3 linked regions of the Drosophila melanogaster genome follow. The protein of the gene in region 2 interacts with the protein of the main gene of each other region in a pairwise test. Each region holds a gene or a part of one and is shown on either strand. Other genes may lie near its edges. The genes, in order: Sas10, CG32461 and CG31910.

Evidence for each region.
Region 1: the proteins of CG32461 (region 2) and Sas10 interact in a two-hybrid assay, tested with the Drosophila melanogaster proteins (one large-scale study listed by BioGRID).
Region 3: the proteins of CG32461 (region 2) and CG31910 interact in a two-hybrid assay, tested with the Drosophila melanogaster proteins (one large-scale study listed by BioGRID).

What each region holds. Positions count from the first base shown.
Region 1 is NC_004354.4:5,315,552-5,319,710, reverse strand, and holds Sas10 (something about silencing 10), read right to left. Parts: upstream 2,303-4,159; 5' UTR 2,208-2,302; coding exon 921-2,207; 3' UTR 640-920; downstream 1-639. Other genes in the region: Rnp4F (RNA-binding protein 4F), read left to right, coding at 1-57, 129-575; CG15930 (uncharacterized protein), read left to right, coding at 2,429-2,611, 2,675-2,839, 2,905-3,435, 3,525-3,610, 3,677-4,159. UniProt on the Drosophila melanogaster protein: Essential for gene silencing: has a role in the structure of silenced chromatin. May be involved in gene regulation during development. Binds RNA.
Region 2 is NT_037436.4:22,953,775-22,957,026, forward strand, and holds CG32461 (uncharacterized protein), read right to left. Parts: upstream 1,529-3,252; 5' UTR 1,512-1,528; coding exon 753-1,511; 3' UTR 647-752; downstream 1-646.
Region 3 is NT_033779.5:6,744,100-6,747,458, forward strand, and holds CG31910 (uncharacterized protein), read right to left. Parts: upstream 1,524-3,359; 5' UTR 1,444-1,523; coding exon 1,064-1,443; intron 1,009-1,063; coding exon 600-1,008; 3' UTR 564-599; downstream 1-563.

The sequences.
Region 1 (4,159 bases), on a different chromosome or scaffold from region 2:
GGCGAGGCGCAACGAGCAGTGGCTGGACGAGATGGTTGTCTATTCAAGGGCATGAATGTAAGCGAATGATGTGTGCCTTCATGTTTAACCGAACCAACCAAAGCAAATGCATTTCACAACTCTTTCAGATCTCTGTGGCCATTTCAAACCCACCGCCGAGGGGCACATCAGCTGTCAAGCCAAGTGTGGCGCCCAAGCGACGTGTGCCCACCTCGCTTATACCCACGACTCTGGTGCGCCAAGAGGTGGCTGCCAAGAAGCTGCGCTTGCTTCTGCCCGAGCCGGGGGACATATCATCCACTTCGGCATCCGTCGACGTGGCCATCAAGCGCGAGGCTAATGGAGAGGAGCAAAAAGGAGATGTTCAAGAACGAGATGAGCAAAAAGGAGAGGAGCAAAAAGGAGAGGAGCAAAAAGGAGAGGAGCCAAAAGGAGAGGAGCAAAAAGGAGATGATCAAATAGGAGAGGAGCAAAGTGGAGTGGAGCAAAAGGGAGATGAGAAAAAAGAAGAGGAGATGCCAGCTGCTGTGCCCAAGTCAAACGATGACTTTCGCAAGCTATTTCTCAAGGATTAGGCGACAAATGCCGGCGGCTGAGCCCGGTGCCAGCGGCCATGGTTTAGTTTGTAAGACGAAGACGAAGATTTGGAGCATATATTTTTTTAGATTTAAGGCAACCTAAACAGACAAGGTTGGAGAACACTGTACAAAGAGAAAAACTGTTGTAAGACAATGATTTTTGTTTCGACTCATATAAATTGGTTTCTTGATGAACCAAGTGAAGAAAAATGTTTGTTTGTTTCGCATATGACAGCTAGTTGACTAATCCCCGGTGAGTCTTTGGATGAAATGGGTGTTTCAAGTGTACAAACATCGAGTTGATTAAAATGTAATGATCTTGGCGGATTTATTGGATAAAAACTAGGTGCGGAACTTGACGCTCTTCGTGACGCCGGCCTTGATGCCGGACAATTCGCCGCCGTAGCGCTGCAGCTCCTTGCGCACCGTGCGCACGGCTCCCTTGCGCCGGATGAGCGCCTTTCGGTATTTGCCGCGATGCTTAACGCGCGGATTGCGCAGCTCCTTTTTGCGGTGCGGCGTGAGGCCCTTGTTCTTGGCCATCTGATAGGTGATGCCGCGTCGCGCATCCTCCTCTTCCTCCTCCTCACCAGCCTCCTCTTGCAGATCCTTCTCCTTACTCTCAGCATCGTCATCGTCATCATTATCATCATCATCGGAGCTCACTGACGCCTGCTGGCCATCGTTGTACTTGTTGAGTATCTGCAGCTTAGCCTTGCGCTGTGCCACATCCAGCACGGTGAATGCATCGCCATCTTCAATCCTCTCCAGCAGCGCCTCCAGCTGCGGTCGAATGTATTCCTCGTAGCGCGGCTTAAGCTCCTCGATCAGATCCTTGAGTTGCACCAGCCGCCTAATCACCGGATGGGCCTTGACGTCGATGCGACGTGCCTTGAGCAGCAGATAGAAAGCCACATTGGAGCAGTAGGTGGTGAGCACGGTGTGGCAGAGTCCGGCATATTGCAGCGCCGGCACCATGGGCACATCGTGTTTGCGAACGTAGTTGAGCACCGGTTTCAATAGGTTCTTCACCTCGTCGAGATGCTGTTGAAAATCCTGGGTGAGAATGATGAACTCCGGCGACTCACTGTGCATCAGCTGTCGTCGCTCGCGTTCTGATAGGCCGGCCAGATCGCTGGTCACTTTGGTTATATGGCTCAGCTCGTTGTCATCACTGCTGCCTGCGGGCGCTGCTTCTACATTGTCCAGCTGGAAATCGGCCTCGCTCATGCGCTTGGCCAGACGCAGCTGGATCTTTTTGGCCTCCTCCTCCTCGGCGCGTGCCTGCTCCTCCTCCTGGGCATTGTAGCTGCTGTAGTCCTGGTCCACAAAGTCGGTGTTGTAGTACGTGCTCCGTTTGCTGCCCCAGTCCATGGTGTTGGGCAGATCGCGGTCATCGTCTTCGGCGCCCTCGATGTCACTGTCGCGCATCAGTTCCGCCACATCCTGCTGCTCCTCCTCGTCGTCGTCGTCGTCGTCGTCGTCATCATCACTGAAACCGAGCACTTCCTGGACGGGATCATGTGGCTTTTTGCGCTGCTTGCGCAGATCTTCGAGTATTTCGCGCTCCTCGTCATCGTACTCCTGGTCGGAGCCGCTCATCACGTAGTCGTCACCGTCGCTGTCCATTTGCTAGCTGCTCTCTGTGCGTTTAAATACAAATTAAAACTAAATTAAATCAAACACAACACGTGCGTAAACAAACGGCTCGATAACACGTTCGATAGCCGCCAATGACCGATTGGTGTGGTGGATTTCGCGGATGGCGCATTTGCCATCTCTAGCGTCTAGCTTACGGCGGTGATGCCACATGGGAAAAGTTCCACAATTGAAATTCAGTTAAAATCAGGATGCAAAGCAAGATGGACGTCAAAGAAGGAAGACTTCAAACTTTGCTCTCGAAATTGAGAAAAATTTCGGAAGAAGCCGAGGATAACAATGATGTGCCGCTCGATTTGCGCTGCCCCAGTGCCAAAATGCGGAATAACAAAGTGTTAGCCGATTTGAGTGACATGCTAAAAGTTGTCGAAGATGTACGTAAATTCAAATTACACATGTATGCTTAGTTAATACTAATAAGTAATTTCCTCTAAAAGATCGCTTTGGAGGAAAAAACTACCGATTCCAAGAAGCCGGCTAATTCTGAACAGCAGATCAATGGAACAATTGAATTAGCACTCGATTTGCGCCAGCCCAATGCCAAAATACGGCTTGTGATTTCCGATTCGAGTGACTTGCAAAAAGTTTTCGAAAAAGCACATGTGCGTCGAAATATATACATATATGTATTGTAGAAATTACTAATAAGTTTTTCGCCCCTTAAAAGATCGCTCTCGAGTTAAAAACAACCGATTCCAAGCCGACGGCTGAGACTGACGACCAGCACCATGTGCGAATTTTCGATAAGATGCTTTGCAACATCGTTGTGCCGCCGGATGTAGCCGATGTCCAGGTGAATGGAAAGCCATTGGAGCAGTTGTTAGCCACCGTGTCGGAGCGCCAGGCAATGAACAATCCTGGCCCAATGAAGATGCATGAACTGCACACCGGCAATGCTGACTTCATGAATAGCAATAGCCAAGTGGCAGAAGCTGCTGCGTCAGTGGAAACACTGCTAGCGTCGACATCGGACAACGATAGCGACAGCGATGGACTCGAATCAAAAACGACGGATGGTTACATTGTCAAGGAACTGATACCGTCGTTTTCCGATTTCCCGGATATCGGTGATGTTAGTTTGTGTGCACTGATGTATGGACTGCCCATGGATGCCGTTGGCATGCACTGGAAGCTGCCGCCGCAGCGTATCCAGGATATCTGCAAGGAGGACTCTATCTTCCCGATCATCATGAGCTGTGTGAGTGCGCTTTGGTCCCGTGCCAAGCAAAGAGACAGCTTTGAAATAGGAGTTCAATCTTTTTTTTTTTGTTTTTTTTTCTTGCGCAGGTGTTCTCTCCGTGTGAGTTCTGGTTCCACATTGTGCCACCGCAGTACGCCAAGAATCCTGTAGCCGAGATGACCATTGATCTAAAGTAAGCTACTAACTAAATCGATTGATTGACTGATTGATTGATAATATTGTTATTTAATGCCCATAGCTGGTTCTATCGCCATACGACGATCAGCAGCTACCGTGCCGAGTTGCCTAGCTATTTCTATAAAGAGGGCTACATATGCGCCGCCTACAGCGAGTGTGGCTGGCGACGTGCCATGGTGCTCGTCACCGCACCGTTGGACGCCCAATGTGTGAACATAGAGTATGTGGATCATGCCCTGTCTGTCACATTGGCACCGAACCATCTACGATTCCTCCCACTAAGCTTTGCGCGCACACCGCCATTGGTATTTCGCGGCAAAATGTCGCACGTACGCCCATTGGCCAATGGGTGGCCAAAAAATGGTATCACCGCATTCCAGCGCATGACATTCAATAGGGTATTGTATGCCCATGTCGGCGAACTGGATACCGCTCAGGGTATATTCTCTATGCGGCTATCGTATGATGAAACTTTTGTGCCCACCATCAACGATCTAATCGAGTCGCGGATCAAGTTGGAGTCCTGTTGCTATGCGCCCGAACT
Region 2 (3,252 bases):
TAATAACCGATGCCACCGACGTGTCGTAAGAAAATTGTATGCGTTACTCTTGGAGTAAAAGGATATACTAGACACTTCGAAAAGTAAGTAACTGGCAGAAGGAAGCGTTTCTAACTATATAATGAATATATATTCTTGGTCAGGATCAATAGACGATTCGAACTGGCCATGTCGGTCTGTATGATCGTTGCGATCTCATAAATCTATTGAGTTTAGATTAGACATGCTGTTTTCAGAGACAGCGCAAGCTTATTTCCAAATTTTGCAATGGCCACTCGAACGGCCACAAGCCGGCAAAAACTGTAATGCCCCTTTTACATGTCACTTTTTGAAAATGTTTTGAAGTTTTTTTATTTATGTTAATAATTTTTGATTTGCCAATAAACTTTTTGCCATGTCCACTCTTACGCGTACAAACCTTTCAAAACTTCCACGCCCACACTTTATAAATTGCTTTAATTTTTTTTTCGGCTTTTTGTTTGTCTTGCCATTTTCTATTGGTACACTTGGGCCACGCCCCTTCTAACACACACAAAATGGCCACAATTTTGAATCGGGAATCTCGACTATACCATACTCCTTTTTGTTTCTATTTGGCTTACAGTGTAAAAAAAGTGTAAAATCTTAATAATAAAACGCAATAATTACGTATTAAGCATTTTTTATTTGGTAATAAATATAAATTTAACTTTTCAGTTTTTAAAATCGCTGTCTTCTCATGTGTGAATATTACACGCTGTTATTGATCTTTTTTAAATTAAATTCGACTTTAACAGCTCCAAATAATTATTGTTTGTACGAGTTTTTCCATCTTCCGTTGTTTTACTATTACCGCGAATCTTCGAATAAGTGGCTGACTTGGTATGGTAAAGGTGTATCTTGCTTTCCGTACTTAAATCACCACAGGTGCGTTTCATGTATCCAGTGGCAGGTTTGCTTTCTTCCTTTGCATGACCAATGCATCTTCGGCTTATACCACAATCCTGGCCGACGCCTTTGCTGCGGGGAGTCTTATTGGAAGCACCTGTATAAATCTTAAGAGATCTGTTTGTGGCCGGGTAATGATTTGCGTGAAAGCCAACTCCAGTTGCACCGACCAAGTCTCCGAGACTTCCACGCAGTTGGCAAAGAATCTTGTCTTGCTTCACGCGAAGTTTGGCTGGCATGGAGAATTTTTCGCCCCGTATGGGACCAGTCGCATCTAGTCCTTTTGCTATTAATCGCTCCAAATCTTTTAACAGATTTTCCCTCTCGGAACCTGAAGCCAAGGATATTTGCCGCAGTCCGAACTGAACTTTGGCATAATGGGACGAGATTTTGAAAAGCGCCTCTTGCAACTGCTCCACTTCGCCTTCGAGCTGACACTCATATGGCGTCATAGTCCTGCTTATCATCCGACCTTCCGAGTCAAGTTCGGTGTAAAGTCGCTCCTCTTCAATTAATTCCGGTGAATTGGATTTTGTCCATCCGGATACAGCGACATTTTGCTCTTCACTATTAATACTACCCATGATCTGTGCAGACTCCTGAAAATTGACACTTTATATTTTCGAATAAAGCTAAGGAAATATATAAGCAATTTTATTTTGACAGTGAATGAATGAGTAGAATACTTACTGAACGTATTCCGTATATCAATTTTATAATAGTATTATGATGTAGCATGTTACTAGTGTCTCTAACAGCATTGACAACAGTACGCATTTAGTATTTATTTATTTAATATTTTTAGAGTAGAGCTCAGAATGGAAATGACAATCTTCAGAAAGAAATTTGGGCTGTGTCTTCGTCTGTTAAATATGCATGCTTAGTCCTAACTTTCAAGCTTTTAAAGTTCCGAGATCACATCGCTTATACGGTCGACAAACAGCCGTGCTCAAAAACATGACGGTCCATGGTAAAGATGTACTAAAAAAGAGGGAATGCTATAGACGACTTCCCCGACTAGAAGATACCCGTTACGCAGCGAGTGGAAATATGAACGAGAAATTTCATAATTTTTTGGGAACATTGGAGTTTGACGTGGCGATTTTGGTCGGTTTGTGGACGTAAGAATGGTCGTGGTAAAAAGTAGAAAAATCGGTAGAAACTTACAAGACTAATAAATTTATGAAAAACAACCCAAACATTTTTAAAAAGCGTGGCAGTTTTGGGCGGTTTTAGGGCGTTAGAGTGGGCGTGGCAACAAACTTGCTTTGCGTCTATGTCTCTCTCATATAGTTCCTGAGATCTCGACGTTCATACGGACGGACAGACAGACGGACAGATCCTGATCAAGAATATATATACATTATATTTATTCGGAAACGCTTCCTTCTACCTGTTACATATTTTTAACGAATCTACTGTACCCTTTTACTCTAGGAGTAACGGGTATTAAAATTGTATTACATAAAAAAATTTTGTATATAATAATTAATAACTAAAGAAAGGAATAACTAGCTACTGTGGCCATCGACTCGACTTACTATTAAATCGGTGGTTGTGTTAAATTTGGTGTATAACCTAACATTTGTTTAAGAAAGATAATATTTGGTTAAGATTATTTGATGTTAGGCTAACTAATATATTTGAGGGCGGGGTGGGACCGAAAAGATATGTTCTTAGGTTATGATGGTGTCTGCATTTATCTAGTATATAATATAATATATATAATATCTAATATATAGCTTGGTCGCCTTTCGACGTTGATATATTATTAAATTATATAATATAATATATATAATATCTAATATATAGCTTGGTCGCCTTTCGCCGTTGAGAATGTCCTTCCGTGTAAAGTGTGTGGGTCCGGTTTTTAGACGAGTAAGAATGGCAAATTCCCATCTGTTGCACGATTCTGTTGCTGAATTGTTTATATCAGTTTTCCAATTCGATGTCGGGCAATATCTTTTTGATGTTTTTTCCAGCTGTCCTGTTGCACTCCAGGTATAATTGTAGGGCACGGCGCGACCGGCTAGCTTTGCGGCTTTGTCGACTAACTCGTTTCCATTGATTCCTATACCGTGGGGCCCGTAATAGCTTAATTTTGCTAATATTTTTTGTGCACAGGTGACTAAATTCACATTAAAGTTTGTTGTTGTAGTAGAGGTTTTAGATTTCTTGCAGGGTGGACAGACTGTCACTGCAGATGATATGTCTTTCTTAAGTTCAAGAGTCAATTTAATCGATTGGCTACTGCTTCGGCGGTGAAAAGAGAGAAGTAGTGGGGAGTAGTCTACTACTACAAAGGTAGTTGATGTGTCGGACTTT
Region 3 (3,359 bases), on a different chromosome or scaffold from region 2:
TCGCATTTAACACGCTTCAGCTCAGCTCGTGAAACATCCTCGAACAAGTATTCTTGCTGGCGCTGCTGAAAGTTCAGGGGTGAATAAAACCATTGATAACAGAAGTGACCCTGCCTTCGTGGCCCTGCAACACATTATGCCCATGACAGTGTGGCAATTGAATAAAGGTCACTTTCGCAATGTCTCTGGGCCCTCATGTCAATTTAACTTTTCATTTTCAGATTAGCTCAAATCTATCTCTGTTTCGATCAGGTTCTCTATTTTACATTAGTAGACAGGGTTGCATTTAGAGTGGATAACGGTATTATAAAAGGACTCTTTGGATGAGTTGCTAAGCGGATAAATAACTTCATCTTGCACACGAGCGAGGTGCTGCATCCTCAGGCGGATTTCTCAAGCTGCTGACCCACTAAAGATCCGATGGGGGACCCGATCTAGCATCACCAGAAGGGCTTCTGTTCATTGGGAGCAGAGCCCCACAAATGTTAATGGGACACTCATTATTATTGATTAGTTGTTTAGTTGATGGACAGCTATCACTAGCCAATAAATCGAATTTCATTGAATAGGGCTTCTATTTATTGCACATTTTGGCTTGACTAGATGCGACTGACATACTTTAAATTTGCTATGTTTTGGTGGGAACACTTCAGCTTCAAGATGGGGCAGGTTGGAATCGGGTAGATACACTTGCAGTAGACAAATTGATTGTTAAGATACTCCTCAAACTCCTCCATGGCGGATTCGTTTTGGAGCAGATCGCGGTATTCCTCGACACTCTCCAGATTCACGGGATCCAGCTGATGCATGAAGCACTTGAGCTTCAGCACTGTTGCATACAAATAGTTGAATATGTCGACGGCCATGATCTTGTGGTACTTGATGCTTCTATGATGGCTATCGCCCATGATGAAGGGCGTTTCCTGGGCCTTGTCCAGCCTTTCGTAGGCGGCATAGAACTCCTTGCACTGCTGATTGATTTCCAACAGGGTGTTTTTCATTTTGTTGCTAAAAGAGAAGCGCAATGTAAATAATTTCGTAAGCCAAGTTGTATGCAACTCACTTTGAAGCTCGCAGCACTTCCAATTTTTCCTCATATTCATTGATAATGGCCTCCTCGGTGGACAAGGTGTACACTTCGGGATAGCGACAGCTCTGCTCTGAACTGATTAGAATCAGATATCGCTGGGTTAGCAGCCATATCCGTTCAACCAGTATCTTTTGGGCCTTCATTTCGCACTTGTATAGATTGTAGTATTCCTTATAACGCATCTCTAACTTGACAAGGAGACCCAGAACTTCTGCCTCAATCCCGTAGTGCTTCTTGAGCTGCTTGGTTAGATGCGGCTCCTCATCCTCCACCTTGTTTGATCTGTTATCCGATCTGCGCTCCAACTTGCCCGCCACTATGGGTTCCAACATCAATTCAACTCTGTGTTCCATTTTGTTTATAGACTACGTGTGTTGGGTGTGTGTGTGTGTGTGTGTGCTAACTGCCTGACTGTCTGAGAAAATCGTATAATGGATCGGCCTTCAAGGCAGACTAGATGATTTAGTCTCGGCTAATACTACCCATCCATTTGGGTGCTCATCTCTTTCGTCAGTGGCCTATTAGATCTCTAAGGTTAAACCAATTTGTTTGGCATCGGTCGAATGGGAATCCTCTGAGTATTGACGAAAAATCACTTTTAATTAAGATCAGTTGAAAAGATGAAGATTTATATTTCACTTAGGCCAATTTAAAAAAGATTTGTCTGCCAAAAACATGTACGTAAAAAAGAAATCAGCTTCGCAATCGATGAATAGCATGTGATAGTTAAATATAAATATACTAAATATAATATTTATACGATTGAAATCAGTCGGGCGGCAAAAAGGAGCTTTTGATTGATTCGATTTTCGAGCACTTTCGGCATTCGAATGCATTGGAACGGAAATCAAATTAGCCAAATACTGCAGTGCTGCTGATTTTTCCGAGAGCCAACCAACTTATATAGCGTACACACAGGAAAATCCGTTGGCATAGATTTCATGTTAAATGCGTAATTTTTCCGTATTCTTATTTCGTTGGGCATCATAAATGAAGTGCGAAGCCAATTGCCGGCAGTGAAACATTTAATATATCTGTTGCGATATGAAGGAAATTCGAACTCATGAGCAATGTTTGAGCAATGTTTCCAAACGATTTTTCAATATCACTCAAATAAACAATAGGAACATGCGAGTGCAGAGTGCGAAAAGTGTACGCGTATGAAATGCGCTCTAATTGGAAAAATGTGTCGGAAATATTGACGGCTGTCAAATGTAAATGGTAAGGCGAAAGGTAAATGTTTAAAAATATCTTCAAGTGAAATGTTATAGCCACAATGATCGTTCTAAAAACTTTCCAATCTGGCTTCTGCAATACTGCAATTTTGTCTCGAAACATTACATTTTTTTGTGAAAGAAAATATTACAAATAAATGTTCAACAAAATATCCACATTTCGCACATCACGACTGAGCGTTGTTTACGATTTCGGAATTTTTAATTGCCACAGCGGCACACGCGGCGTATGCGCGATATCTTGTTCGGTGTAATGTGTTTAGGCTATTTTGGATCAGACAAGTGCTTCTTGTGCGCCCTCAAGATGTGTTTTCTCAACACCAAATTGTTAATGTGCAATTAATTCTGGGCGAGAGGTTGCAAAATATTTTTGATTGTGTTCAATTAAGAGGCGAAGGTGCAATGAACCTTTCGCGATAATTGAAAAAAGGGAAACAAAATAATGCAGTCAACTAAGAGGGCCAAATTTGAAAAATGTATCGTTTTAGGTGCGTTTTTGTAGTTATTTGCACTAAGTGGGCTAATTAGGCTTATCAAGCTAATCAAATTAAGAATAAGGACGATTGGTTAATAGTATTAAAATGACATTAAGCTTTAATACACTTAAACCTAATTACACTTCACTTTGATTACTTTACCAATTTGAAAATAATTTCTTATTAAAATATGCACTTAATAATGCATCTCAGTGCTCTGGTGTGGTTTATATCATTCCTGCCATCCGCATCTTTCGCTTTCTACGCGTTGAGCCGTGGGACAAGGTCGTGCCGTCGGCTGTCGGCGCTAGAAATATTATGGCTAACCGAGAGATAAAGTATATATGTATCTGTATCTGTAGCTGTAGCTGTGCCGCACTGCACAGGTCTTTGCGGCCCACTGAGTCTGTGCCCCGTGCGTTTGTGACGCGCTTTTTGCCATTGACACGCAATAAAAATATGTGCTCGAAATTTTTAAAAACTCATAATAATCACATTAAAGATTTGATGATATATATATAGGGTATCTGCTGTTGCTGATTATAAAATAATATAATA